Linked DNA regions of Anolis sagrei. The protein of the gene in region 2 interacts with the protein of the main gene of each other region in a pairwise test. Links are inferred from orthologs where the notes say so. Each region holds a gene or a part of one and is shown on either strand. Other genes may lie near its edges.

The links.
Region 1: the proteins of TNIK (region 2) and CLU interact in a two-hybrid assay, tested with the Homo sapiens proteins (2 studies listed by BioGRID and IntAct). The link is inferred for Anolis sagrei from reciprocal best matches to the Homo sapiens genes TNIK and CLU.
Region 3: the proteins of TNIK (region 2) and ACTG1 interact in a two-hybrid assay, tested with the Homo sapiens proteins (2 studies listed by BioGRID and IntAct). The link is inferred for Anolis sagrei from reciprocal best matches to the Homo sapiens genes TNIK and ACTG1.
Region 4: the proteins of TNIK (region 2) and PDE4DIP interact in a two-hybrid assay, tested with the Homo sapiens proteins (2 studies listed by BioGRID and IntAct). The link is inferred for Anolis sagrei from reciprocal best matches to the Homo sapiens genes TNIK and PDE4DIP.

Annotation. Positions count from the first base shown.
Region 1 is NC_090021.1:3,070,545-3,077,824, forward strand, and holds the start of CLU (clusterin), read left to right. Parts: upstream 1-4,265; 5' UTR 4,266-4,346; intron 4,347-7,280.
Region 2 is NC_090023.1:252,620,764-252,628,329, reverse strand, and holds the start of TNIK (TRAF2 and NCK-interacting protein kinase), read left to right. Parts: upstream 1-4,546; 5' UTR 4,547-5,233; coding exon 5,234-5,290; intron 5,291-7,566. UniProt on the Homo sapiens protein: Serine/threonine kinase that acts as an essential activator of the Wnt signaling pathway. Recruited to promoters of Wnt target genes and required to activate their expression. May act by phosphorylating TCF4/TCF7L2.
Region 3 is NC_090022.1:131,819,396-131,826,969, reverse strand, and holds the start of ACTG1 (actin, cytoplasmic 2), read left to right. Parts: upstream 1-4,558; 5' UTR 4,559-4,667; intron 4,668-6,150; exon of another isoform or gene 6,151-6,153; 5' UTR 6,154-6,161; coding exon 6,162-6,284; intron 6,285-6,404; coding exon 6,405-6,644; intron 6,645-6,904; coding exon 6,905-7,343; intron 7,344-7,509; coding exon 7,510-7,574. UniProt on the Homo sapiens protein: Actins are highly conserved proteins that are involved in various types of cell motility and are ubiquitously expressed in all eukaryotic cells.
Region 4 is NC_090024.1:132,332,669-132,340,006, forward strand, and holds the start of PDE4DIP (myomegalin), read left to right. Parts: upstream 1-4,316; 5' UTR 4,317-4,366; coding exon 4,367-4,554; intron 4,555-7,338. UniProt on the Homo sapiens protein: Functions as an anchor sequestering components of the cAMP-dependent pathway to Golgi and/or centrosomes.

The DNA.
Region 1 (7,280 bases), on a different chromosome or scaffold from region 2:
GGTCGAGCCCCCAAGCTCCCTCAATCAAGTTGATCTGAACCGCAGCAGGGAGTTCCGCAGTTCCAGGACATCTGATTGGGCCAACAATGATGGGACTGTGGCCACAGCAGTAGTTTCAACTAAAAATCACCGTCTGCTTTCCTTTGTAACAACAGTGTAATAATCCCCAATAAAAGTATCCTTCAACTGCAACTTTTTCTCCTCGTAGTGATACATTGTGTCTCTTTACTGCCTCTAACACTCTCTAACATGAACCTTTCCCTTTCCGAGCCGCAGATCATTGTTAGCTCAGCCGGGAAGCTCTTACAGAATCCTGGGGAGGCTGAAACTGCGTTCCTCTGAACCATGGATACGGAAACCCTTTGGGGCCCCGTATCCACGGGTCAACAGATCGACTCCACTGTTGGCTCACCCAAGATGCTCTTATAGCATCCCGGGAAGGCTGAAACTGCGTTCCTCTGAACCGTTGATACGGAAACCCTTTGGGCCCCCGTATCCGTGGGTCAACAGATCAACTCCACTGTTGGCTCACCCAGGATGCTCTTATAGCATCCCGGGAAGGCTGAAACTGCGTTCCTCTGAACCGTTGATACGGAAACCCTTTGGGCCCCCGTATCCGCGGGACAACAGATCGACTCCACTGTTGGCTCACCCAGGATGCTCTTACAGCATCTTGGGGAGGCTGAAACTGTGTTCCTCTGAACCATGGATACGGAAACCCTTTGGGCCTCCGTATCCGCAGGTCAACAGATCGACTCCACTGTTGGCTCACCCAGGATGCTCGTACAGCATCCCGGGGAGGCTGAAACTGCGTTCCTCTGAACCGTGGATATGGAAACCCTTTGGGGCCCCGTATCCGCGGTCAACGGACCGACTCCAAACCGATGCCATTTTCTCCTAGACTAATTTTGTGACTAACTGTTATCTCACTTTTTCATTATGGACCCCTGCATCTCATGTGTGTCCAGAAGCCTGACAACTCTGGGGAACCTGCTGACCTCTGCTTCGGCAGAGTCTCCTAAATTCATGTTCAACATCGGCTTCAGGCCCTTTCCTGAAGCTGGGAAGGGCCTGAGGCCAGGAATTGTGGGAGTTGAAGTCCAAAACACCTGGAGGGCCAAAGTTTGCCCATGCCTGGTATAAAGGTAACCTTTGTTACATGCAGCCTTGATCAAGGTCATGTTCATTGCACATTCAAAAACCACACCTGTGAGAACATCCTTCATGAGGTTTGCAACATCTAAGCGGATTAAGAGATTGGAAGGGAAGTTCAAACGTTTTGGGTTTGTTTACTCTGAAAAGGAGGAAAAGGTGAATCAAGGGACAGAGGTGCAGAAAAGTAAACACAAGGCCCAAAAGATAGGTCGTACAATGGAATGCATGCAGTTTGACACCACTTCAGCTGATCCTGGGAGTTGTAGTTCCACAAGGTCTTCGGGATTTCTAGTGTAGTGAGGCACCACTACTATTTGGCAGAGAAGCCGAAGACCTTGTGGAATTACAACTCCCAGGATAAGCTAAGGTGGTGCCAAACTGCATGCATTCCATTGTACGATCTACCTTTTGGGCCTGTGTCTCCATACTGAGGAATGTTGGGAGTTGTAGTTTGATGAGATGCTTAGAGCTCTGTAGGCCCATTCATGCTATACAAGGGGCCTGGGATTTCTAGTTTAGCAAGGCGCTACTACTATTTGGCAGGGAAATAAGACCCCTTGTATAGCATGAAAGGGTCCACAGAGCTCTAAGTATCTCATCGAACTACAACTCCCGACACTCCTCAGTATGGAGCCACAGCCACAGCTCCATATTGAGGAGTGTCGGGAGTTGTAGTTCGATGAGATACTTAGAGCTCTGTGGACCCTTTCACACAGAACTCCCATGACCAACAGAAAATACTGGAAGGGTTTGGTGGACACTGACCTTGAGTTTTGGGAGTTGTAGTTCACCTACATCCAGAGAGCACTGTGGACTCAAACAATGATGGATCTGGACCAAACTTGGCATGGATACTTAATATGCCCAAATATGAACACTGGTGGAGTTTGGGGAAAATAGAGCTGGACATTTGGGAGTTGTATTTGCTGGGATTGATCACCTACAATCAAAGATCATTCAGAACCCCATCAATGGTAGAATTGGCCCAAACTTGGCACACAGAACTCCCATGACCAACAGAAAATACTGAAAGGGTTTGGTGGGCACTGACCTTGAGTTTTGGAGTTGTAGTTCACCTACATCCAGAGAGCACTGTGGACTCAAACAATGATGGATCTGGACCAAACTTGGCACGGATACTTAATATGCCCAAATGTGAACACTGGTAGAGTTTGGGGAAAATAGAGCTTCACATTTGGGAGTTGTATTTGCTGGGATTGATAGTTCACCTACAATCAAAGAGCATCCTGAACCCCACCAACGGTAGAATTGGGCTAAACTTCCCACACAGAACCCCCAGGACCAATACGAAATTCTGTGTTTTCTGGTGGTCTTTGCCGACCCCTCTGACACCCCCTCGTACCCCCCCCCCTTCCAGGGGTCCCCACTCCCAGGTTGAGAAACGCTGACCTAGAGTCATAAGAACCAGACATCCTGAGGAGTGAGGTTGAATGGGCCTTAAGAAGCATTGCTAACAACAAGGCAGCAGGAGACGACGGGATCCCAGCTGAACTGTTTAAAATCTTAAAAGATGATGCTGTCAAGGTGATGCATGCCATTTGCCAGCAAATATGGAAAACACAAGAATGGCCATCAGACTGGAAAAAATCAACTTATATCCCCATACCAAAAAAGGGAAATGCGAAAGACTGCTCAAACTTCCGTACAGTGGCCCTTATTTCTCATGCCAGTAAGGTAATGCTCAAGATCCTGCAAGGAAGACTCCAGCAATACATGGAGCGAGAGTTGCCAGATGTTCAAGCTGGGATTAGAAAAGGCAGAGGAATGAGAGACCAGATTGCCAATATCCGGATGCTGGAGAATGGAGAAAGGCAGGGAGTTTCAGAAAAACATCTACTTCTGCTTCATTGACTATTCCAAAGCCTTTGACTGTGTGGATCATAATAAATTGTGGCAAGTTCTTGGTGGGATGGGCATACCAAGCCCCCTTGTCTCTCTCCTGAGGAATCTGTACAAGGACCAAGGAGCAACAGTCAGAACTGACCACGGAACAGGAGACGGGTTCAAGATTGGGAAAGGCGTCCGGCAAGGCTGCATACTCTCACCCAACCTCTGTAACTGGTATGCAGAACACATCATGCGAGGATGTGCGGGGCTTGATGAATGCAAGGCTGGGGTGAAAATTGCTGGAAGAAACATTAACAACCTCAGATATGCAGATGACACCACTCTGATGGCCGAAAGCGAGGAGGAGCTGAGGAGCCTTCTAATCAAGGTGGAAGAAGAAAGCGCAAAAGCCGGGTTGCAGCTAAACATCAAAAAAACCAAGATGATGGCAACAAGAATGATTGACAACTGGAAAATAGAGGGAGAAACCGTGGAGGCTGTGACAGACTTTGTATTTCTAGGTGCAAAGATGACTGCAGATGCAGACTGTGGCCAGGAAATCAGAAGACGCTTCCTTCTTGGGAGGAGAGCAATGTCCAGTCTCGATAAAATAGTAAAGAGTAGAGACATCAGACTGGCAACCAAGATCCATTGCCTAGTCCAAGCCATGGTATTCGCTGTAGTCACATCTACGCATGTGAGAGCTGGACCTTCGGGAAGGCTGAGCGAAGGAAGAGAGATGCTTTTGAGCTGTGGTGTTGGAGGAAAGTGCTGAGAGTGCCTTGGACTGCGAGAAGATCCAACCAGTCCATCCTCCAGGAAATAAAGCCCGACTGCTCACTGGAAGGAAGGATACTAGAGACAAAGTTGAAGTACTTTGGCCACATCATGAGGAGACAGCAAAGCCTAGAGAAGACAATTATGCTGGGGAAAGTGGAAGGCAAAAGGAAGAGGGGCCAACCAAGGGCAAGATGGATGGATGGCATCCTTGAAGTGACTGGACTGACCTTGAGGGAGCTGGGGGTGGTAACGGCCGACAGGGAGCTCTGGCGTAGGCTGGTCCATGAGGTCACGAAGAGTCGGAGACGACTGAACGAATGAACAACAACAAAGAGTCATAAGGCTATGCTGTTTTCCCATTGGCGAGCGCTCCCTCTAGCGACCACTCTGGGTAGTGCGCCTTTTTGCGGATGGATTGAGAACTGGGGACCTGGATGGGGAAGGTGACGTCACAGCGGTGGGGGGGGGGGGGAGAAAAAGGAGGGAGGGGCTGTAGGATAAAAGGGCCGGAGTGCTGCTGCGCCATTCGGACAGTCCGAGGAGGGAAGAAGAGCCAAGGACAGGTAAGAAGGAGAGAGTGGGAGGGATTGCCTGAGGAAGGGGAGATGCAATGCACTGCAATGCAAGAGGGAAGGGATTACTTTTGCAAGGCTTGCAAAGTCCCCATCAAAAATATAAGCAAACACCATGTTAGTTTATCCCCCGGTCCATAAGAATGGGGTATGAGTCTGCAAAACACGCAAGTCAGCCCCCTTTTGGCCCATTCACACATGCATGCGTGCAAAAAGCGTGCAAGATGCGTGTTTGCGTTCTTTCCTGCTCCTGTGGTTGAGGAGGGAAGGAAAAAGAAAATAAACCCGCAAATTGACGCGCAGAGGGCGTCTCGTGTGAACGTGACATGGGGAACACGTGTCATCATGCGTGTTTGCAGATATTACATATTATGATTATTAGTTTGAACCCCGTTTTACTTTTTGGCTAGAGTTCTGTACTTATTTCCTCTTACAGAGCATCCTTTTTAAAGGGACCACAACTCCCAGCATGCTGGTTGGAGGATGATGGGACTTATGGGAGTTCCCAAGATCTGATTTATTTTGCAAATATTACATATTATGATTATTAGTTTGAACCCAGTTTCCCCTTTTGGCTCAAGTTCTGTGCCTATTCCCTACTATAGAGCATCTTTTTTAAAGGGACCACAACTCCCAGGATGCTGCTGGCAGGATGATGGGAGTTATAGTTTCTTCCAATTCCCAAAGCTGTGGTTTATTTTGCAAATACTACATATTATGATTATTAGTTTGAACCCCATTTTTTGGCTCAAGTTCTGTGCCTATTCCCTACTATAGAGCATCCTTTTTAAAGGGACCACAACTCCCAGTATGCTGCTTGCAGGCTGATGGGAGTTATAGTTTCTTCCAATTCCCAAACTCTGATTTATTTTGTGCCTATCCTATTTTGGACATTACATGCACCTTACATGGTCCCCTAACTATTGCAATATTTCGATTTTTATATTTTGATATATTATCATTATATGAATTTATATTGTATTGTTATTGCATTTATTATATTATAATATTATATTTGTTTACATACCACTTTCTTCTCTTCAGGCTGTGAACTATGCTAAAAACAATGCAGTATCCAATTTACATAGATCCTATTTTGTAATGTAATATTCTGATTTATTATACTGTATTTTAATACTATATTTATTACTAGCCGCCCCCTGCCACACGTTGTTGTGGATCTCATGGGGGTTCTGTGTGGAAGGTTTGGCCCAATTCTATAGTTGGTGGGATTCAGAATGCTCTTTGATTGTAGGTGAACTATAAATCCCAGCAACTACAACTCCTGAATGACAAGATTCTATTTTCCCCAAACTCTACCAGTGTTCACATTTGGGCATATTGAGTATTTGTGTAGAGTTTGGTCCAGATTCATCATTGTTTGAGTCCTCAGTGATCGCTGGATGTAGGTGAACTACAGCTCCAAAACCAAAGGACGTTGCCCACCAAACCCTTCCAGTATTTTCTGTTGGTCATGGGAGAACTGTGTGCCAAGTTTGGTTCAATTCCATCGTTGGTGGGGTTCAGAGTGCTCTTTGATTGTAGGTGAACTATAAATCCCAGTAACTACAATTCCCAAATGACGAAATCAATTTTTTTGAGTGAAGGACATACATTGGGTTGTTAGGTGCCTTGTGTCCAAATTTGGTGTCAATTCATCCAGTGGTTTTTGAGTTTTGTTAATCTCACAAATGAACATTACATTTTTATTTATATAGACTAGCCGTCCCCTGCTACGCTTTGCTGTGGCCCACTCTGTGTATATGTGTTTTGTGTGTTTGTGTATATGTGTTTTTGCATATATATATGGTTTTGCCCATGTGTTGTAATTTAATTTTTAGTTTTTTGGCTTTTTAAGTCTCTTCTGCTGTGTTTTTCAGTGTTTTTATGAGTGACAGTCATTCGTTGGTTTGATAGGCATATCGTGTCCAAATTTGGTGTCAATTTGTCCAGTGGTTTTTGAGTTATGTTAATCCCACAAACTAACAATACCTTTTTATTTATATAGACACTTATTTATATACTGCTTTCCTCTCTTAAAGCAGTAAACAGTGCTCAAAACAATGCAATATTTAATTTGCATGGATCCTATTTTGCATATTGCATCTCTCCTACATTGCATCCTCCCTTAAGTTTTTATTTAATGATTCCAATTAGTTAAAAGTAAAGGTTTCCCCTTGACATTAAGTCCAGTTGTGTCCAACTCGGGGACTCTGGTGCTCATCTCCATCTCTAAGTCAAAGACACCTCCAAGGTCATGTGGCCAGCATGACTGCATGGAGCACTGTTACCTTCCCGCCGGAGTGGTACCTATTGATCTCACATTTGCATGTTTTCAAACTGCTAGGTTGGCAGGAGCTGGAGCTAACAGCAGGAGCTCATCCTGCTCCCTGGATTTGAACTGCCGACCTTTTGGTCAGCAAGTTCAGCAGCTCAGCGGTTTAACCCACTGTGCCACCGAAGGCGCCTAACACCTCCCAAAAAAGAACCCCCCAGAAGCAACCAGCCAGTCTTTGAAGCTGCAAGGCCATTTAATGCTAAATTTTGCAGTTACCGTATCCTATTTTACACATTGCATATCTCCTGCCTTTTATTTACCCTGTCTTCTTTTTAAAATCTAATATTTGGATTTATTTGTGCATTAATCCTGTATTTTGAATTTATTTGTGCATTGATCCTCTATTTTGAATTTATTTGTGCCTTGATCCTCTATTTTGAATTTATTTGTGCCTTGATCATATATTTTGAATTTATTTGTGCCTTGATCCTCTATTTTGAATGTATTTGTGCATTGATCCTCTGTTTTGAATTTATTTTTGCATTGATCCTGTATTTTGAATTTATTTGTGCGTTGATCCTGTATTTTGAATTTATTTGTGCATTGATCCTCTATTTTGAATGTATTTGTGTATTGATCCTATGTTT
Region 2 (7,566 bases):
GCTAAATAATGCAGTTTGACACCACTTTAATAGCCATGGCTCAATCCTATGAGATCAAGGGAATTGTAGTTTTACAATGTCTTTAACATCCTTTGCCACAGAGCACTGGTGCCTCACCAAAATACAGATCTTAGGATTCCATGGCATTGAGCTTTGGACAGCAAAAGCAAGGTCAAACTGTATTAAATATGCAGGGCAGATGCACCCCAAGACTCCAGGTTGAAATGTATAGTATTCCAGACATCTTGTTCATTTCCGATTTCAGAAACCCTAAGGGACCCTAAGGGAGCCTCCAGTGGCACAGCGGGTAAACTTGCTGACTGAAAGGTCAGCTATTCAAATCTGGGAGTGGGGTGAGCTCCTGCTGTTAGGCCCAGCTTCTGCCAACCTTGCTGTTCGTAAAAATGCAAATGTGAAGATACCGCTTTGGTGGGAAGGTAACAACATTCAATGCAGTCATGCCAGCCACATGACCTTGGAGGCATCTATGGACAACACTGGCTCTTCAGCTTAGAAATGGAGATGAGCACCACCCTCCAGAGTCGGACATGACTAGACTTAATGTTAAAAGGAAACCTTTACCTTTACCTTTAAGGGAGCCTATCACAAAGTTTTCTGGGCACTTTTTTCAAAGGACATTTACCTTTGCCACGCTCTGGATATGACTTTCCCAAGGTTTCCAAGATGAAGTGGGGATTCGAACCCAAGTCTCCAAAATCCTAATCAAACACTTGAACCAGTACATGACACTGGCCCTTTAACTGTTTTTAAAAGTGCTGGAACAATATCCATGCTTGCAGGACAAATTGTGACTCAGGAATTAACCCTCTGGAAAAGTGAAAACTTGATGAAGCAAGAGTGCTTCTGGACATGCATGGCCTTCAACATCAGCCTACACACCCCAGAGTTTACTAGAAAGGCCCCGAGCTCCTTGGAGTGGTGTTTTCAAGGAAACCCCTGCCAATCTTTTTTTTTTCAGAAACAAACTTTGAATACATTTCATCAAAGACAGAAAAAAATCAGGTGCCTCGATTATTTTATATTTTACTGCTCCTGCTAGCAGGAGGAATGCAGTTGTTTTTAATCTCACGTGTCATTGGGTGAAACAGAAAGCCCTTTTCTTTCTCCATCTGCAGTTAGACCGAAGGGAGGAATTTTGGTCACGCGTTTGACAACGGCTGCTTTTAAGGGGCCTGATTTGAATTCATACTGTTGGCATTAAATCCGAATTTATGATTCAAACAGGGAAAGGTCAGTTTGCAGAGCTCGCTATTGGATAAATTCAAAAGAAACTGCAGGGCTGGGATTAATGAAACTGAGCACAGTTTCCCTCTTTCTGATTTTGATTTTGAATTGAGAGGTTTTATTTCCCTCCCTTTCTTAAGGCATTCAGCACCAGCTCTCTCCTTTAAGGGAAAATATCTGGTGCAATCTACAGCCCATTCCAATGCTTTTACTCCAAAGGAGGCCTTATTAAATGCAATGGAAATTGCTCAGGAGTAAGGGTTACAACTGTAGCTAATGCATTTGTATTAACTCAGGGTGCATCTACACTAGGCATGTGCAAACTTGGGCCCTCCAAGTGTTTTGGACTTCAACTCCCACAATTCCTAACAGCCTCAGGCCCTTTTCTTTCCCCCCTCAACCACTTAAGGGCCCAAAGCTGTTAGGAATTGTGGGAATTGAAGTCCAAAACACCTGGAGGGCCCAAGTTTGCTCATGCCTGATCTACATTGTAGAGTTAATGCAGTTTGACATCCCTTTTACTGCCAAGACTCAGTGCTGTTGAATAACATGAGTTATAGTTTTATAAGGTCTTTAACCTTCTCTGTCTGGGAGTGTTAGTACCTCATCAAACTACAAATCCCATGGTTTCATAACATTGAGCCATGGCAATTAAAGGGGTATCAAACTGCATAATTCTGCATCTTCATATCCAAGCCCCATTGATCTCCAGTGGACAACCCCAATAAAGTATCATCTAAAGGTGCCTCCAAACTGTAGAGTTAATACAGTTTGTCATCACTTTAACTTCCATGGCTCAAAACTATGGAATCATGGAAGTCGTAGTTTTACCAAATCTTTACCCAGTTATGCCAAAGAGTGCTGATGCTTCCCCAAACTACAACTCCCAGGATTTCATAGCATTGAAACCTAGCAGTTACAGTAGTGTTGCCAGGCCCGTAGCCAGGATTTCGTTTCGGGGGGGGGGGGGGCTAAAAAATTTTCAGGGGGGGTTTTGGGGGGGGTGAGTTTCGGGGGGGGGGCTGAGTCTGAGTGAAAGAGGGTCTAGCCTAGCAAACCTTTTGTATCATTACCCCAATACCCCCATGCATATGGGATATATTGAGTATGGTGATCAGATCATGATATGAATAAACATAACAGTTTAATTAATGCACCAGTAAGGCCTTTTCGCGAACCACCATGAGAATTTCGGGGGGGGGGGCTGAAGCCCCCCCCCCCCCCCCCGGCTACATGCCTGCGTGTTGCCCTGCCTTAATTCTACAGTGCAGATGGATCCTAAGTGTGGGTTTTGTAATTCTGACGAAATCATAGAGTTGAAAGAGACCCTCAAGGACAATGCAGTTGCCATTAAAGAACACCCAATCAAAGCAGGCCAGATATTATTACCCTTATTGCTATAAATCCTTATTATGACAATGCTCCTTCAGTCTGAGAGGGCATTCTTCACTGTAGACATAAAGAGGTTTGGCCCCACTTTAACTGCCAGGGGTCCATGCAAAAGGCCATCACTCTTAGGCCCCTTTTACACGGCCATATAAAATCCAGATTATCTGCTTTGAACTGGATTATATGGCAGTGTGGACGCATAGAATGAAAATGTTTCCCATTTGGGGGTGGTGCTCATCTCATTTTCTAGGCCGAAGAGCCGGTGTTGTCCATAGATGCCTCCAAGATCATGTGGTCAGCATGACTGCATGAAGCGTTGCTACCTTCCTGCTGAAGCAGTACTTATTAATCTACTCACATTTGCATGTTTTTGAACTGCTAGGTTGGCAGAAGTTGGGGCTAACAGCAGGCGCTCACCTCACTCCCCAGATTCGAACTTCCACCCTTTTGGTCAGCAAGTTCATTAGCTCAGTGGTTTAACCCACTGCGCCACTAGGGACTCCTGTGGACTCATATAATCCAGTTCAAATCATATAATGTGGATGATCTTGTAGAAGGGGCCCCGAGACAGAAAAGGCTCGATACAGAAAAGGCTCGAAACTGCCAGGATTCCATAGCACTGAGAACAGTTAAGGTGGTGTGAAAGGTATTAGTCCTAAATCAGGCATGGGCAAACTGCGGCTCTCCAGGTGTTTTGGACTTCAACTCCTGCAATTCCTGACAGCTGGAATTCTGGAGTTGAAGTCCAAAACATCTGAAGGGTTAGAAAAGACCTTCCAGAAACACACAATCAAAGCAGACATTGTTATTATTACAAATCCTTGTTGTGACACTTGTTCTTCCTTCTAAATGTATTTGTACTTGGCCTTGACATAATCACCATCATAATGAGTGGATTGAGTATGCTTTTGGACACAAGCTGTAATGCAGCGTTTCTCATCAAGTATTCAAGCCAAGTTTGGTCCAGATCCAGCATTGCTTGAGTCCACAGTGCTGTCTGGATGTAGGTAAACTACAATTCCCAAACTCAAGATCAATATCCACCAAACCTTTCCGGCATTTTCTGTTGGTCATGGGAATTCTGTGTGCCAAACTGGGTTCAATTTCATCGTTGTTGGAGTTCAGAATGCTCTTTGATTGTAGGTGAACCATAAATCCCAGCAACTACAACTCCCAAATGAGAAAATCAATCCTCCCCAAGCCCACCAGGATTCAAATTTGGGCGCATTGGGTACTTGTGAATGAAAACACATTTTGCATATCAGATATTTACATGATGATTCATAACTGATAGGAGTTGTAGTTTTGGGAAGTGCTGATGCTTCCCAAAACTACAACTCCCAGGATTCCATAGCATCGAGACCTGGCAATTACAGTAGTGTTGCCCTGCAATAATTCTACAGTGCAGATCGAGCCTAAGTATGTGGGTTTGTGGTCATCTCCATTTCTAAACCAAAGAGCCGGCGTTGTCTGTAGGCACCTCTAAGGTCATGTAGCCGGCATGACTGCTTGGAGCACCATTACCTTCCTACTGGTGCAGTTCCTATTGATCTACTCACATTTGCATGTTTTCGAACTGCTAGGTTGGCAGAACCCTTCATAACAGCAGCAAAATTACAGTTATGAAGTAGCAACAAAAATAATGTTATGGTTGGGGGTCACCACAACGTGAGGAACTGTATTAAGGGGTTAGGAAGGTTCTGGCCTTGAGATAATAATCATTATCCTACTGAGTGGATAGAGTGTGCTTTTGGACACAAGCTGTAATGCCTGGGTGTGTTTGTGTTGTAGTGGCCAAGCCCACCGCCACACAACGCTATTGCTTGGCTCTCTTTTCCCCCTCCCCTCCCCCTCCCCAGAGAAGCGGAGGAGGCGCCGCCCCTCCCTGGTCCCCCTCCCCTCCCTCTCTCCCTCCCAGGAAGCCTCCTCTTCCTCCTCCTCCTCTTCCTCCTCGGTGACAGCTTTCTCTGCCTCTCCATCCGAGCGAGTGGAGGAGGCGAGGTGCGCCGGGACCGCACCGGGAATCGCCTCGTTATCTTCACCGGGAGGGAGAGGAGCGGGGAAACCGAGGCAGCCTCCCCACCCGGGCCAGGAGAAGCCAGCCATGCCCTCCTGAAAAGCAGACCCTCCCGAGCAGAGGCACCTTCCCTTCTCCGCCTTTGCACGCCTCTTCTTTCCCCGAGAGCGGCGCGTAAAAGTGCCCGGGCGCACTCGCCTTCGCCTCTCGTCCAAGGCGCCGGAGCTCCTGCTTCTCCTCTCGCTTTCGCTGCCCTTTCCTGGGGGACGCTGGTCGGAGGACGTGAGCGTTGAAGGAAGGAAGGAAGGAAGGAAGAAGGAAGAAGGAGGAGAGGAGGAAGGAGGAGAGGGAAAGGGTGCCGCTCCTCTCCATTGGCAGCAGCAGCAGCAGTAGAAGCGCAAGCAGGGCGCATGAGAGGGAGAGGCTGGAGGTCTCCATACAGGGACCCTCTCTTCCCACCCAGCCGAAGACGGAGGGCTTGCTGAGCTTGTGGGGCAGCAGGAGAGGCCGGAGCCCGAAGCCAGCGCCGTGGGTTTCTTCCCTGGGGCCGTTTTTCCTCGGTGGAGGAGCCCCCCACTCAACATGGCGAGTGATTCTCCAGCGCGGAGCTTGGACGAGATCGATCTCTCCGCCTTGAGGGTAAGAAGCAGGGGGGGGGGGGGCTTGGGAGGGTGTGTGTGTGTGTGTGTGAGTGTGTGGCAGAGGAGCCCACCCAGCCTCGCTGCCCCCTCCCCCCACAACAGATGTCCCCTTTCCTCCCATCCATCCAGCCTTTCCCTTTCCTCCCTTGCCATCCCAGAACTTCCCAGATGGGCACAAACTGCTCCTCTTGATAACAGCAGGGTTGTTTTTGTTATTGACAGAAAGCCTTCCCTCCTGGAAGATGTGTGGGTGTTCCTGTTCTGAATGGAGGTGGAGAGCTGTCTAGAACCCGCTGGTGATAATCAATAGTATGGGGAAAGGGCAAGAAGAGGGATCAACCAAGCACAGCTGGGAAACAGCATCTATCTCTCATCACACTAGAGAATGAATCCTCTTTAAATCCGGTTGCTGCCTCCTGCAGAATTCTGGGGTTTGTAGTATAGCGAGGCTGTTAAAGTCTCCTCCTTAAACTACAAACCCCAGAATTCTGCAGGAGGCAGAAACCAGATTTTAAGTGGATCCATTCTCTAGTGTGATGAGGTCTCTAAGACTTCATCACACTAGAGATTGAATGTCACTCCTTGTTGTTATCCCTTAATGTTTCATGTCTTCCCTCATATATGATATGAAAGGAGAGGGATTGAAGGCACATTTAAATTAAAGGTGTTTTGGATATGGTTTTGGTCACCTCTCGCCTATTCTGCTGCTTCCTGCAGAATTCTGGGGTTTGCAGTTTAGTGAGGCTGTTAAAGTCTCCTCCTTAAACTACAAACCCCAGAATTCTGCAAGAGGCAGAAACCGGATTTTAAGTGGATTCATTCTCTAGTGTGATGAGGTCTCGAAGAACTCATCACATTACAGCATGAATGTCGCTCTTTGTTGTTACCCCTTAATGGTGCATTTCCTCCCTCATATAAGATATGAAAGGAGAGAGATGGAAGGTGCATTTAAATGCAAGGTGTTTTGAGATGGTCTTGGTCACCTCTCGCCCATTCTGCTGCCTCCTGCAGAATTCTGGGGTTTGTAGTTTAGTGAGGCTGTCAAAGGCTCCTCCTTAAACTACAAACCCCAGAATCCTGCAGAAGGTAGCAACTGAATTTAAAGTGAATTCATTCTCTCGTGTGGTGAGGTCTAGATTGCTCCTTGTTGTTACTCCTTAATAGTGCATTTCCTCACACATATATAATATGAAAGGGGAGAGATGGAAGGCACATTTAAATGCAGGGTGTATTGGAGATCGTCATGGTCACCTCTCACCCATTCTGCTGCTTCCTGCAGAATTTTGGGATTTGTAGTTCAGTGAGGCTGTGAAAGTCTCCTCCTTAAACTACAAATCCCAGAATTCTGCAGGAAGAAGCAACCAGATTTAAAGTGGATTCATTCTCTAGTGTGATGGGGTCTTAGCTCCTTATTGTTACCCCTTAATGGTGCATTTGTTCTCTCATATATAATTTGAAAGGAGAGAGATGGAAGGTACATTTAAATGAAAGGTGTTTTGGAGATGGTCTTGGTCACCTCTTGCCCATTTTGAAGGTTGCTTAATGTGTCTCTTCCAAATCTAATCTTTTTCCCTCCCCTTCTCCTTCAAAATCTACATTGCTGCTACAGTATTTGGGAAAGGAACACATACAATGTGTCCAGGCATCAAAAATAGAAGCAGTAAGGTAGATGAACCAACCCCACTGCTCTCTTGACTCTTTTCCCAGTCTCAGGCTCGTTTGATGATAATATAAACAATCCTCTCTGGCATATGTGGAAAGAAAGGCGGCATGGAAATGCCCATTGCACACCCTGATGTGCCGCTATTAAGACATGTCATGGGGATATGTCTTAATGGTCATGCGTCGCTGTTGTTGCTCCGTGTGCATGCATTTTGCAACCATCTGCTCTGATGCAAGCTAGCTAGGTTGCTATTCTCACAGTGTGTGAAAGCTAAAGACAGTGGTAGTGTCCATTTTGATGAAATAGGATCGAATGCACCTTTTTAATGAGCTCTTCCATTCCTCTTGAAGGAAGAGGATGTACCTCCTGGCTGTTTTAGCCATGTGACATGCTACATACATCACATTATGGGCTGGGGGAATGAACTGAATCAGTCTTGACACAGGCAGATCAGCCTGAGTAGATACTTTGTGTCTAATACTGATATAAAAATGACATGTGTGAGCAGGGCATTGTAGGAATATTAGATGTCTTCATGATGCCTCCTGTAAATAAATTGGGGCCATAAATGTGTTGTCCTCTATTGTTCTGCTTATTCTACCATTCATTTT
Region 3 (7,574 bases), on a different chromosome or scaffold from region 2:
TGGAGCATGCACACACACCATTGGAAAGACCTGGAGAACAAAGACGTAGGGGTTTGGAGCATTGTTCAGCTTTTCTTTCCCCCCACCCCTGCAGTAAAGAAACTAGAAACAAAACCTGCCTCATGAAGCGCACACGAGTTATGCTGCGCGTGCCATTTCCTCCTCCTGCAATGATGTGTCACTTCACAATTCAACATGGCATCTGTGGTTGGAAATGGAGGAAAGAGCAAGAAAAACAAGGGGTGTTGAAATCACAAAACGTTTCCAAACCGGGGAAGGAAGCAGGACCTGCTGACCTTGAAAGGGTTGCTGTTGGGTCTTCCTCCACTAGTTATGCTTTGAGTTTCGGTGGCCAGAAAGGAATTGGCTGTAAATGTTATATTGTCACTTGCGGGAGTGCCCTGCTTACTTCCTCAGTTTTATCTTCTCACCAAAGATAAGACTGTGTATTCCTGGCAAATAATTGGTGGCAAATGTATGGCAAAAATCCTGCTGAATTCTCAATTTTATGTTGCAGACAAATTCAGAAAGTCTTAAAACACGTGATATACACCATACTTCCTCTAAATGTTCTCAGTTTAAAAAAGTAAAAGCCCAGACTTAACATGATGAAAGCACTAATAGGGAGGGCAGAACATAAAGAACGAATACACAAGGGGTGGGGGGAAGGCTGTGCCCTATTCAAATATTCCCCGCCCTTCAAGGTTACTTGAAAGCCTATGATATGGTTGTTTGACACTTTGTACTGACATATTGGTACTGCCATATAAGGAAGGCAAATTGAAAGTGTCAGTGACTACATGTGTAAGAGTCAAAGTGCCTTGCATGGGTCAACAATAATAATCTTGGTCCCCTTCCACATGTGTTGTTTGCTTATGTAAAATTGGCATTTTAATCTGATCAGTGCCTATGATGATGAGGACGGAACTGGAAATGGGAGGGGTTTTTTTTTTTTTTGCATCTGTCTCCTGCCAATAGGTTTCCCATATGCACCCAATGGGCCACTATGAGAACAGAAAGCTGGACCAGATCCACCATGGCTTGGTTTATCTGCTTACGCAACCATTTCCCAAAATTGAAGGATTCCAAATAATCTTGCAAATATTCCCTTGGAGTGGAGCAGTCGATACCAAACGAATCATCCTTTTGTGATTCTATGATGTGTCTGATTTCCACTGATGCGCTGGTTGTTACTCATATTGCAGCCTTCTGCTATTGGTAGCTTAACTCTCAGTTGACTTGGCAGGCTGCTTCCCAAATTAGGAAGACGAGAGGGTTAGGCTTCCGTGGGAAGGAAGAGCTTAGTCACCTGCTCATAGGCGAGGCCTGGTTATTTTCCTAGGTGTGTGCAGTGAACAGGGATGGGCAGGGCCTGGCTGTTTTACCTGTGTTTGGATCTGGAGCTTACCCAAAAGAGGTGTCTCCCTCTTTCCTCTGAGCTTTGATACAGCTGATTGCTGTCAACAGCTAAGATGTCTGCTTAGGGGGGGAAATGAAATGAAAAGCAAAAGGCTGCATTTTTTTTTTTGGCTAACTGTATGGTAAGTCCAATTCCTGCCCCCCACTTCCATACAAGAAATAAGCAATTGAAGACAAAGTATGCTTCACTTCTAATTCAATGAAAAGCAGTTTCTATTGTTAGGAAGAACCCAGCAGGACAACAAATCATACATAGTGAGGTTTCCTGATGCTCTGCAGAACTTGAAAGAGACTTCACAGTCAAAGGCATGGCTACTCTTTTCATATCTTGAGCAGGCTTCCTCAATTTCCATACCTATCACTTTAAAAGGAGAGAAAACCTGGGGCAGCTTGGACCACATGGGTTGCCTGGGGTCAGTGGATTGTGCTCTGCTTCATTCAACAGAAACACCTTGTGCATCACTTTCTGATCTAAAGTTTCTTAAAGGCCTGAGGGGCATGGAGTCCCCCCTTACCTGAATAGTAACTGCATGGTCATCTTTGCAGACTGGATTACCAGTTTCCTTGGAACAGAGGGCTGAATCCTAGAGAGATATTTTGAGCCCAATCATGAAAAAAATGCTTCAAAGTAGCCTTCCCTAATATTGGCTAGGGAGGATGGGAATTGTAGTCCAATACTTGAAGAATATGTGGGGAAAGCTTCTATAAAGAACCCACTTCCTGGTTTGTATACAGTTTAATGCAGAGTTTCTCAAATTGTGCTCTTCCAGCTGTTTTGGACTTCAGCTCCCACAATTCCTAACAGCTGGTAAGTTGCCTAGGAGGTGAAGTCCCAAACACCTGGAGCAACACAGTTTGAGAAACATTGGTTTAATGTATTGTGCCCTAGGATATATCTACATTGTAGAACAAATTCAGTTTGACAGCACGCTAACTGCCATGGTTTAATGCTCTGGAATCATTGGAGCTCGAGTTTTACAAGGTCTTTAGCCAAGGAGTGTTGCACAAACCCCCTGAGTCAAGACAGTTAAAGCGATGTCAAACTGCATTCATTCTACAGTGTATGCACCCCACAGGCTATAGGCAGTGTTTTGTGAGACTAGTGCTTATCAAAGCTCTGTATAGCACATTGTTTGCTTTTTAAAATCACATTATGATTTAACGGCTTGTGAACCATTGAAATGGAGGGCATACTGATTTTCGTAATATTTGCTGGCTCCTGGGAGTGCAGTGATGTAAAAGTCATTATAACTCTCCTAGAAGTCCACTATAGCATTCCTGAATTGCAGCGTGTCAAGCGCGTCAGTATCTTTCCGTACAGAAAACACAATGCTGCTGTGACTATAGCAACATAATAGTCCTCTACCCTTCACTTAAGCAATGCAAGTCGAATGGAAAGGTGTGGCATTCAGCACTGCAGAGGCAGGCAGATCCAACATGGTGGTGGCACAGGTGAAAAAACATGGCAATGCAAGGACCATATAGGGCAATATTTCAACCCAGAACGCAAGGCGTGACAGCTCAAGGATAAAGGGGCATCCTCTCAGGAATGGGATGCAGGCCTTGGGTCTTTTCTTGGGATGGTGAAAGGCCGCCGGCTTCCCCTGGGGAGACTCAAGGCTGCAAATTACAGGTACTTCAGGAGAGAGACACCAAGTCTGCCTTATGATGTAGAAAGGCTAGTGCATTGATTCAACATTTCCTAGCAGGGCAGGGCTGTGGCACCCTGACTACAACCGCCATAATCCCTTGCTTCCTCCCATACTGTGTAGGGATTATGGGCACTGAGGTGCAAACCGGAGCCATATGTAAATATTTGCCCTATGTAACAACAAAGTATATCCACACTGTAGAATTAATGTGGTTTGATACCACTCCAAGGCTATGGATTCCTGGGTTCTGTAGTTTTCCAAGGTCTTTCACCTTCTCTGACAAAGAGCACCGGCGCCTCACCAAACGATGACTCCCATTATCCCATAGGATTGAGCCATGGCAGTTGTTGTAGGTTTTTTGGGCTACATGGCCATGTTCCAGAAACATTATCGCCTGCATGTATGGCGGGCATCCCCAGAGATTGTGAGGTCTCCCCCTCAACCACTCAACTTGTAGCCAGGCTTCATGCGTCTTGGCTACAAAATGGTGGCCATAGGGCACAGGCAAGCGACCTCCACCATAGGTGTTCCAGAAGCATTCTCTACTGACGTTTCGCCTGCATGTATGGTGGGAATTCTCAGAGATTGTGAGGTCTCCCGTTCAACTGCTCAACTTGTAGGCAGGCCTCATGCACCTTGGCTACAAAATGGTGGCCGTAGGGCAAAGGCAAGCAACCTCCACAATAGGAGACCTGAGAGTAGCCCTCAGAGGAGTCCACATAAACACACAGCCCAAGCATGTAGCCAGGGGAGGGGGGCGCTTGGGGAGCTTCAGCCCCCCCCCCCCCCCCGAAATTCTCATGGTGGTTCGCGAAAAGGCCTTACTGGTGCATTACTTAAACTGTTCTGTTTATTCATATCATGATCTGATCACCATGCTCAATATATCCCATATGCATGGGGGTATTGGGGTAAGGATACAAAAAGTTTGCTAGGGTAGACCAGACCCTCTTTCACTCAGACTCAGCCCCCCCCCCCCATCAAACTCAGCCCCCCCCCCAAATCAAAATTCTGGCTATGGGCCTGACACAGCCCTAGTCCCCATGTGAGAGTGTAGACATGTTCTCGACTGTATTTTGGGAGTGGGGGAGAGGCCTTCAAAATACTTTAAACAGTTCTTCCTCTGAGCATCAGGCAGGGCACTGTGGACACGCATACAGATACGGAGTGGCCTGTTCTGCTCCCCAGTCGCACAAGGTGGAGGATTCTTCTGGGTGGAAAGTCTTCTAGAGAAGCCACCCTAAGGGCGAGGACTGAGAGAGGGGCTCTGAGCCTGGCCTTGCCCACCCCCTCCTCCAGCTCGCCCTCGTTGCGCGCATCCAGGTTCCGGGGCTTCGGAGGAGGGGGGCGTGGCCGAGCCGCTTTCGCCTGCCCCACGTGGCCCGGCCCGGCCCAGCCAATGGGAGCGCATGTTTCTGAAAGATCTCCATATATGGCGATGTTCTCGGCCGGCCAGGCGGGGGCCGCCGCCCCCCTGGGTATAAAAGGGGCGGGGCTGGCGTTCGCTCGGTCTCACTCAGCCGGCGGCAGCGGATCTAGCACGATCGGCTCCTCTCTCTTGTCTCCTGACCTTTTGAAGCTTCCGCCTCCTTGCAGGTAGGTCACGTCCCCCTCCTCACGCCCCCCCCCCCACACCTTGCCTTTTTCTATTAATATTTTATATGCAGCTGTTACTGGTTTTGTCCAAAACGGATGCGAAAAGTATATACTTTATTTAAAAAATTCTAGATTGGACATGAGTGTGCCTGTAAAGATAGGAAGCGGTTTATGATTTAAAGAGCGTGGGCGTTAAGCCCCTTTCCCGCCGCCTCCTCGTCTCGAGCCGCTAACGGCTTCCGAGGGGCGCCTTGAAAAAGGGAAGGCGGTTTCCTCGCGGCCGGCTTGGCTCGCGCGAACCCCCCCTCCTCGCGAGCCCGCAACGGTTCTCGTGATTGGGCAGGGCCGAGGGCAGCTGGCGCCGGATTGGCCGGGCGAGGGCGCTGACGTCACTGGGCGGGAAAGGAGACCATTGTAAAATCTATTCGAAAAGGGAGGCAGTTCAGGGAGGGAGAGAGGGGGGGCAATGACACTACGGAGTGCATGCAGGTCGGCCCCCATTTTCACTGTAATGGTTCGATGCTGTGGGATCACGGGAGTATGGTTTTTAGTGGCGTTGTCGAGATGCGCGAATTCTGCAGTGTAGTCCACACATTGGCAAGCTTTGGCCCTCCAAGTGTTTCAGACTTCAACTCCTACCATTCCTAACAGCCTCAGGCCCTTTCCTTTCTTTCCTTTTCGCTTAAGCGGCTTAAGGGGGAAAGAAAAGGGCCTGAGGGTGTTAGGAATGGTGGGAGTTGAAGTCTGAAACACCAGGAGGGCCAAAGTTTGCCCATGCCTGGTCTAGACGTCTTGGTTTCAATCCAATCGGAGGGGGGTTGCAGCAAAGGGTGGGGGACGTTTTTAAGAGCCGAGTATTGGTTTTTTGCCCCCATCCTACCCTTTTCCTTCATTTAAATGTTTTCTAGGGGGCTGCTTGCTTAAAGTTCACTGGGCGGGGCTTGGTGGCATTTTGTCTAAAACTGGTCTTTTGTGTCCTGAGTGGATTCAAAGAAATTTCACTCTTGGATATGTGATGGTGTGTCATTCGTTTTTTTCTCCTTTGAGTTCTGGAGATTGGCATGTGTTGTGAGAAATGTGTCTCTTTTTCCTTTTGGTTTTGGCAGGGTGGGCCTTTTGCAGCTAAATTTTCAATAGCTAGGGCCAATAGCATAGCACATCGACAGCCATTTAGGCTTGATTTGTGGGGCTCTTAACTAAGACTAAAAGTTGAGCTACTAATTTTCAAGGTGTATATTGAAGGCAGAGAGAGAGGAGAATGTCTGCTGCCTGCTGATGGTCTGTGGAGGGAGGAAATGAATGAGTCTAGAAAAGCAGCCCAAGAGGGTGGGGTCCTCAGAATGGCTGGCAGGCTGCCAGAGCAGCCCCTAGTGGCCAGATGCTGCAGTGCCTGAGGAGCGAGCGGGGGAGGGAGTAGGGCACTATACCAGAATGTGAGGTGTGTTAAATGTTCCTTAATGATTTTTTCCCTCATTTTTAAAAGCAGATATAAAAATGGAAGAAGAAATTGCAGCACTTGTCATTGACAATGGATCTGGTATGTGCAAAGCAGGCTTCGCTGGAGATGATGCTCCTCGTGCTGTGTTCCCCTCAATTGTTGGGCGCCCTCGCCACCAGGTAAATAGCCGAGCAAGCAAGCTAGCTGATGAAGGGTTTTGTCTGTGTGGTTGAAGTTATAGGCTGTTTAACGCCTAAAAGCACAAGCTGAGCTTTTTTCTTTGCCTCCTCTTTCTATAGGGTGTCATGGTTGGTATGGGCCAGAAAGATAGCTATGTAGGAGATGAGGCTCAAAGTAAGAGAGGTATCCTGACCCTGAAGTACCCTATTGAACATGGCATTGTCACCAACTGGGATGACATGGAGAAAATCTGGCATCATACTTTCTACAACGAGCTCCGTGTTGCTCCAGAGGAACACCCTGTGCTGCTTACAGAAGCTCCATTGAATCCCAAAGCCAACAGAGAGAAGATGACACAGGTATGGTGTTGGCACTGCTGATTTTCTGTATGTTCACCCATTTCACCCACCCATTTTTCTTTCCAGTTACAGTGTCTCTTCTCTTACTTTTAGGGCTCTGTGCTGTCCTGGCATTTCCTTCTTGAAGTCTCAGGTTTCTGTTGTATTTCTGCCTGTTTTTCTTTTGGTTTCCAACTCCATCTGATACTTTGCATGCCTGCATGGGTGTGTGTCCTTGGGGGAGTGCCTCCTTATTGACAGCTTTCTGTTTCCTCCTTCAGATCATGTTTGAGACATTCAACACTCCCGCCATGTATGTGGCCATTCAGGCTGTGCTGTCTCTGTATGCCTCTGGCCGTACCACCGGCATTGTAATGGACTCTGGAGATGGTGTGACACACACTGTGCCCATCTATGAGGGGTATGCCCTTCCCCACGCCATCCTGCGACTGGATCTGGCTGGCCGTGACCTTACAGACTACCTCATGAAGATCCTGACAGAAAGGGGCTACAGCTTCACCACCACAGCCGAAAGGGAAATTGTGCGTGACATCAAGGAGAAGCTGTGCTACGTTGCCTTGGACTTCGAGCAGGAGATGGCCACAGCTGCTTCCTCTTCCTCTTTGGAGAAGAGCTACGAGTTGCCTGATGGCCAGGTGATCACCATTGGAAATGAGAGGTTTAGGTGTCCAGAAGCCCTCTTCCAGCCCTCTTTCTTAGGTAAGCATGCCATTGTATCCAGAAGAAATTATTAGCAAGCTCTGAGGGAGTGTGTTTACTTGTATGCTTACAATGGATTGTGCAGTAAATAATGAATCTACTCCTAATAAAGTGATTGGGCAGCATCTTTACAGATCTTTCCCTTTTTTCCTCTCTCTCCTCTTAGGTATGGAGTCTTGTGGCATTCATGAGACTACTTTCAACTCCATCATGAAGTGTGATGTAGATATC
Region 4 (7,338 bases), on a different chromosome or scaffold from region 2:
TCTCACATTATTTGCTTTGAACTGGAATATATTTATTTATTTATTTACGGTATTTATAGCTCCCTTTTTTAGCCATACTGCGACTCAAGGTGGGTTACAGATTAGCACAATTCGATGTCAGGCATTCATAAAAGTGCAATTAAAAACAATCAACATTACAATATAAAACATAAATAAAAACTGTTAAAGCATATAATCATCGGTGTTGTCTTGGTAAAAACCTTCACATCGTCTGGCTGTTCCATGTTCATCATTCATAGTTCTGTGTTATCTATTCCGCTGCATTCTCAAAAGCTTGCTCAAAGAGCCAGGTCTTTACTTTTTTTGGAAAGCCAGGAGGGAGGAGGCCGATCTAATATCCCTGAGGAGGGAGTTCCGTACCCAGGGGGCCACCACTAAGAAGGCCCTGCCATTCGTTTCTGCCAATCGCACTTGTGTGGCAGGCGGAATCGAGAGCAGGGCCTCCCCAGACGATCTTAAGCTCCTAGATGGTTCGTAGGAGGAGATACATTCGGATGGGTAAGCTGGGCCAGAATTGTTTAGGGCTTTATGGGCTAAAGCCAGCACTTTGAATATATATGGCAGTGTGGGCTCAGATAACCCAATTCAAAGCAGATATTGTGAGATTTTCTGCCTTGATATTCTGGGTTTTATAGCTGGAAGGACCCAGAGTCCATTGTGATTCTTGCTCATTTTGAAGCTGTTCTTTTTTATGTACTATTTCGAGATTATCGACAAATGATTGTTGTATGCCACTTTGCATGCACTTCATATATAAAGATTTGGTATAAATTCAAACATCCTTGTTTGGATATGTGACAAGATCACAAGTACACAGATCAGAGAGGGACAATGTGCCAATTTGCATCGCCCAAAGGATGTCCTTTTGCCATTCTCTAGGTATTTCTCTGTTTTCCTCTTTAATCTCATTGGACTTCCCTTATCCTTGAACTGTTGCTATATTGAGGAATATATCTTCCATATGAAAGAAATTGCAGACCCAAGGAAAAAGGTATGAATCTGAAAACTGTGGCAAATTTTGATTAGAAGTCAGAAGCCAAGTCCTGGTGTCTTTCATGACAGTCCTTGCCACTAGGTGGCTGTCAAGAAGTAACTGAGAACAAGAAGGAGACTTTAAGGAGGCTGAAGATGCACCTTTAATAGGTTTTAACTGCCATGAATACTTTTTATGCAATCCTGGGATTTGTAATTTGGGGAAGCACGAGATTCTGGTAGAGAATTCTAAATACTGGTATTTGCTGGGGTTTGGTTCCAGGGCCTGCCATGGATCCTAAAAGCAATGGATGCTCAAGTCCCATATAATGCATAATCAAATGACATGTTGTTATATAAAATGGCAAAAGTAATGTGTTTTTGAGATGTGGGGTATTCTAAAGTCATGGAAGTTTAATCTGTGGGTCCAGAGTCCATGGACACAGAGAGCTGACCATATCTCAGTAAAGATTTTCCCCTGACATTAAGTCCAGTGTTGTCCAACTCTGAAGTGTTAGTGCTCATCTCCATTTCTAAGCTGAACAGCTGACATTGTCCATAGACACCGCCAAGCTCATGTGGCCAGCGTGACTGCATGGAGCGCTGTTACCTTCCCACCAGAGCAGTACCTATAGCTCTTCTCACATTTGCATGTTTGGGGCTTTATAGGTGAAAGCCAGCACTTTGAATTGTGCCTGGTAGCAAACTGGCAGCCAGTGGAGCTGGTGTAACTTGGGAGTTGTATGCTCCCTGTATGCCACCCCAGTTTCTCGTTGGACTATTTGAAGTTTCCGAGCAGTCTTCAAAGGCAACCCCACGTAGAGTGCATTGCAGTAGTCTATCCTGGATGTACCGAGAGCGTGGACCACCGTGGCAAAGTCTGACTTCCCATGGTACGGGCACAGCTGGCGCACAAGTTTTAATTGTGCAAATGCTCCCTTGGCCACCGGGGTTGCCTTTGAAGACTGCTCGGAAACTTCAAATAGTGCGAACGCTCCCTTGGCCACCGCTGCAACCTGGGATTCCAGGCTCAGTGATGAGCCCAGGAGGACCCCCAAGCTGCGAACCTGTGCCTTCAAGGGGAGTGTAACCCCATCCAGCACAGGTTGCGACCCTATACCCTGCTCTGAATAGCAATTGTGGGAATTGAAGTCCAAAACACCTGGAGGGACAAAGTTTGCCAATGTCTGGTCTATACTGTCATATAATCCAGTTTCAAATCTGATAATCTGGATTTTATCTGGCAGTGTAGAAGTGGACTAACTAAGAGATGCTTAGGTGGGGCATGGCCCAATATAAATAAACTAGCTGCCCCCTGCCACGCGTTGCTGTGGCCCAGTCTGTTGATCTGGAAAATAAAGTAATGAGAAAGTGTTAATTTCTAATATATGTATTTTCTTTATGCTTGTTGGGTAAACAGTATTTCTTGCTGTTTCTTTGTCAGTGTTGATGCGGAGAGTGTTTGGTTTGCCCACCCTTGAACATGCACCATATCATTGTCCTTCTTTAAGGGTCCCTTTCAAATCTATGATACTCTATCTGTGTGCGTGTGTGTGAATCATATCTATCTATCTATATCTATCTATGGCTGGATGGCTCTTTGTCAGGAGGACTTTGATTACGTTTTCTTGCCCTGATGAAGGGAGTTGGATTGGATGGCCTTAAGTATTTTCTGATGGTCATGGGGGTTCTGTGTGGTATGTTTGCCCCAATTCTGTTGTTCGTGGGGTTCAGATTGCTCTTTGATTGTAGGTGAACTGTGAATCCCAGTGACTACAACTCCCAAATGTCAAGGTCTATTTCCCCCAAACTCAATCTGTGTTCATATTTGGGCGAATTGAGTGCTTGTGCCAAGTTTGGTCCAGATCCATCATTGTTTGAGTCCACAGTGCTCTCTGGATGTAGGTAAACTACAGCTCCCAAACTCAAGGTCAATGTCCACCAAACCCTTACAATATTTTCTGTTGGTTGTGGGAGTTCTGTGTGCCAAGTTTGGTTCAATTCCATTGTTGATGGAGTTCAGAATGCTCTTTGATTGTAGGTGAACTATAAATCCAACAACTACAACTCCCAAATGACAAAATCATAATTTTTTTAATGATGGTCACTCCTTGTGTTGTGAGATATTTTGTTACCAAATTTGGTGTGATTTCGTTCATTGGTTCTTTTGTTTTTAACACACAGAGCATTTATATATATATATATATATATATATATATATATATACTAGCTGTCCCCTGCCACGCGTTGCTGTGGCCCAGTCTGGTGATCTGGAAAATAAAGTAATGGTTTCTTATCTATGTAATTTCTTTATGCTTGTGGGTAAACAGTATTTCTTGTTGTTTCTTTGTCAGTGTTGATATGGAGAGTGTCTGGTTTGCTTATTCTGGAACATGCAACATATAATTGTCCTTCTTTAAGGGTCCCTTTCAAATCTATGATACTCTATCTCTGTGTGTGAATCATATCTATCTATGGCTGGATGACTCTTTGTCAGGAGGACTTTGATTACGTTTTCTTGCCCTGATGAAGGGAGTTGGATTGGATGACCTTAAGTATTTTCTGATGGTCATGGGGGTTCTGTGTGGGAAGTTTGCCCCAATTCTGTCATTCGTGGGGTTCAGAATTCTCCCTGATTATAGGTGAACTAAAAATCCCAGTAACTACAAGTCCCAAATGTCAAGGTCTATTTCCCCCAAACTCCATCTGTATTTATATTTGGGCATATTGAGTATTTGTGCCAAGTTTGGTCCAGATCCATCATTGTTTGAGTCCACAGTGCTCTCCAGATGTAGGTGAACTACAACTCCCAAACTCAAGGTCAATGCCCACCAAACCCTTCTAGTGTTTTCTATTGGTCAGGGGAGTCCTGAGTGCCAAATTTGGTCCTATTCCATCACTGGTGGGGTTCAGAATGCTCTTTGATTATAGGTGAACTATAAATCCCAGCAACTACAACTCCCAAATGACAAAAGCAAATTTTTGAGTGAAGGACATACATTGGGTTGTTAGGTATCCTGTGTCCAAATTTGGTGTCAATTCATCCAGTGGTTTTTGAGTTATGTTAACCCCACAAACGAACATTACATTTTTATTTACATATAGATAGATAGATAGCTAGATAGCTAGATAGCTAGATAGCTAGATAGCTAGATAGATAGATAGATAGATAGAGATTGGGAACCACTAATACAGAGGCCTAGAATGCATTTGGGGCTGCATTCTGTGAGTGAGGCTGGCGGCCACCTCAGAGGTCACCCGGGCCTGTCTGGGGCGCCTCTCCTGCCTGGCGCTGGCCCCGCCCCTCCCGACCTCCCAAAGGCGCGGTGACGCCGCCAAGGATGCTGCTGGGCGGCGGCGGAGGAGAAGGAAGATGCAGGCGGCGAAGCGGAGGGAGACGGGGGCCCCCGGAGGACCATCGGCGCCCCCCGGAGAAGGCAAGCCTTCCCGGCGCATTGGGCGAGGGGCCCCCGGGCGCAGGCCCCCCGCACGGAGCGGTCCCCGAAGCAAGATCGCCCCTCCGGCCTCCCTTCCCAGCCCCGGACTCAGGAGCCTCAGGAGGTGAGAGGCTTGGGAGGGGAAGGAGAAGGGGGCGGGGGCCACCCTGGCCTGCTTGGGAAGGACTGACATCACCCTGCCTGAGACCATCGCCTTAGAATAACATCTCTATCCTCTGACTTGGATTCTGAGCCCATGCATTTCCCTCACTGTCATATTATCATCCAATTCCAGAATATAGCTTTACTGCATCCAACTGGATTATATCCATCGGATTCAATCTCAGGCCCCTTCCACACAGCTGAATGAAACCCCACATTATCTGCTTTGAATTGGGATATACGGTAGCATGGACTCAGCCCAGTTCAAAGCAGATATTGTGGGATTTTCTGCCTTGATATTCTAGGTTATATGGCCTAGGAAGGGCCCTCAAGGTGCTTTAAATCAGTCAACACTGCCCTACAATCCAGATCTATCCCCATTCTGAAACTGGATCATGGGGCAATGTCAGCCCCCATCCGTACTACAAAATAAAATCCGGATAATCTGTGTTGAACTGGATTATATGGTAATGTAGACTCCTATAATCCAGTTCAAAGCAGATCATGTTTTAGGGCCTTGGTACAGTCCGTGTTATAGGGCAATGTCAGTCCCCATCCGCACTGCAAAATAAAATCCAGGTTATCTGCTTTGAACTGGATTATAGGACAGTGTAGACTCTTATAATCCAGATCAAAGCAGATCATGTTTTAGGGCCTTAGTAAAATCTATTTTATGGGACAGTGTCATCCCCCATCCACACTGCAATATAAATTCCAGATTATCTGCTTTGAACTGGGTTATATGGCAATGTAGACTCTTATAATCCAATTCAAAGCAGATCATGTTTTAGGTCTTAGTAAAATCTATTTTATGGGGCAGTGTCATCCCCCATCCACACTGCAATATAAAATCCAGATTATCTGCTTTGAACTGGATTATATGGCAATGTAGACTCCTATAATCCAGTTCAAAGCAGATCATACTTTAGGATCTTAGTACAATCTGTTTTATAGGGCAATGTCATCCCCTATCCAGAGGCGGCCCTAGGTAATTTTCAACGGTAAGCAAACTGTATTTTGGCACACTCCCCCTCCCCCCCCCCCCCCCAAACCAATCACTGATATATATTTTCTGTTCGTCGTGGGAGTTCTGTGTGCCATATTTGCTTCAATTCCATCATTGGTGGAGTTCAGAATGCTCTTTGATTGTAGGTGAACTATACATCCCAGTAACTACAACTTGCATATGTCAAGGTCTATTTCCCCCCCAAGAGCGCCCCTGGGCAAAATCAACTATACTGCAAATGCTTACAATGGGTTGAGCAGCCCCTGCCTCTATCCGCACTGCAAAATAAAATCCAGATTATCTGCTTCAAACTGGATAATAGAGCAGTGTAGACTCCTATAATCCAGCTCAAAGCAGTGGACTCAAACAATGCACATATGGAGTATTCATGCCAAGTCTGGTCCAGATCCATCATTGTTTGAGTCCACAGTGCTGTCTGGATGTAGGTGAACTACAATTCCCAAACTCAAGGTCAATGCTTACCAAACTCTTCTAGTGTTTTCTGTTGGTCATGAGAGTCCTGTGTAACATGTTTGGTTCAATTCCATTATTGGTGGAGTTCAGAATGCTCTTTGATTGTAAGTAAACTATAAATCCCAGCAACTAGAACTCCCAAATGACAAAATCAATTTTTTTGAGTGATGGTCACTCCTTGGGTTAGTAGGTGTTTTGCGGCCAAATTTGACGGCAATTTGTCCAGTGGTTTTTGAGTTATGTTAATCCCACAAACGAACATTACATTTTTATTTATATACTAGCTGTCCCCTACCATGTGTTGCTGTGGCCCAGTCTGGTGATCTGGAAAATAAAGTAATGAGAAAGTGTTGGCTTCTAATATATGTAATGTCTTTCTGCTTGTCGGTAAACAGTATTTCTTGCTGTTTCTTTGCCAGTGTTGATGTGGAGAGTGTCTGGTTTGCCTACTCTGGAACAGGCAACATATCATTGTCCTTCTTTAGAGGCCCCTTTCAAATCTTTGATACTGCATCTGTCATATACATATATGTGTGTCTGTGAATGGCTGGATGGCTCTTTGTCAGGAGGGCTTTGATTGTGTTTTCTTGCCCTGGTGAAGGGAGTCCAATCCATGTTATGGGGCAATTTCTCCACCTGGGAAGTCAAGACCCCTGGGGGACACTGGGGGGAGGGGTCAGAAGGGTCACCAAAGACTACCAGAAAGCACATTATTTTGTGTTGGTCGTGAGGGTTCTGTTCCCCAATTCTGTCATTGGTGGGGTTCAGAATGCTCCTTGATTGTAGGAGAACTATAAATCCCAGTAACTACAACTCCCAAATGTCAAGGTCTATTTCCCTCAAAGAGAGAGAGAGAAAAGAGAGAGAGAGAAAGGGAGGGAGAAATCCATCCCTAGGAAAGGAAATTCACTCCTGAAAGAGTTATCACCAAGAAAGGTGTCTCCACTGAAGCCTGATCACCAATCCTTGTTTCTACCACAAGCCACATTTTTTCAAAATCCAATGATCACAGCGACAGAAACTTCTGAAAAGGGGCACAGACAGCAAAACAAACACCATTGGGGTGTTAACCCTTCTAATGCTGTCCAAAGCTGAAAGAGATATACGTATTTTGGACTGGAGTGACGCTTAGGAATGTACCTGTTCTGACAAATTCAACTTAAGAACAAACCTACAGAACCTGTCTTGTTTGTAGCTTGAGGACTGCCTATATTGCAAAGTAGCTTATAAAACTCTGTAGGGAATCCTGAAGAGGTCCAATCATAT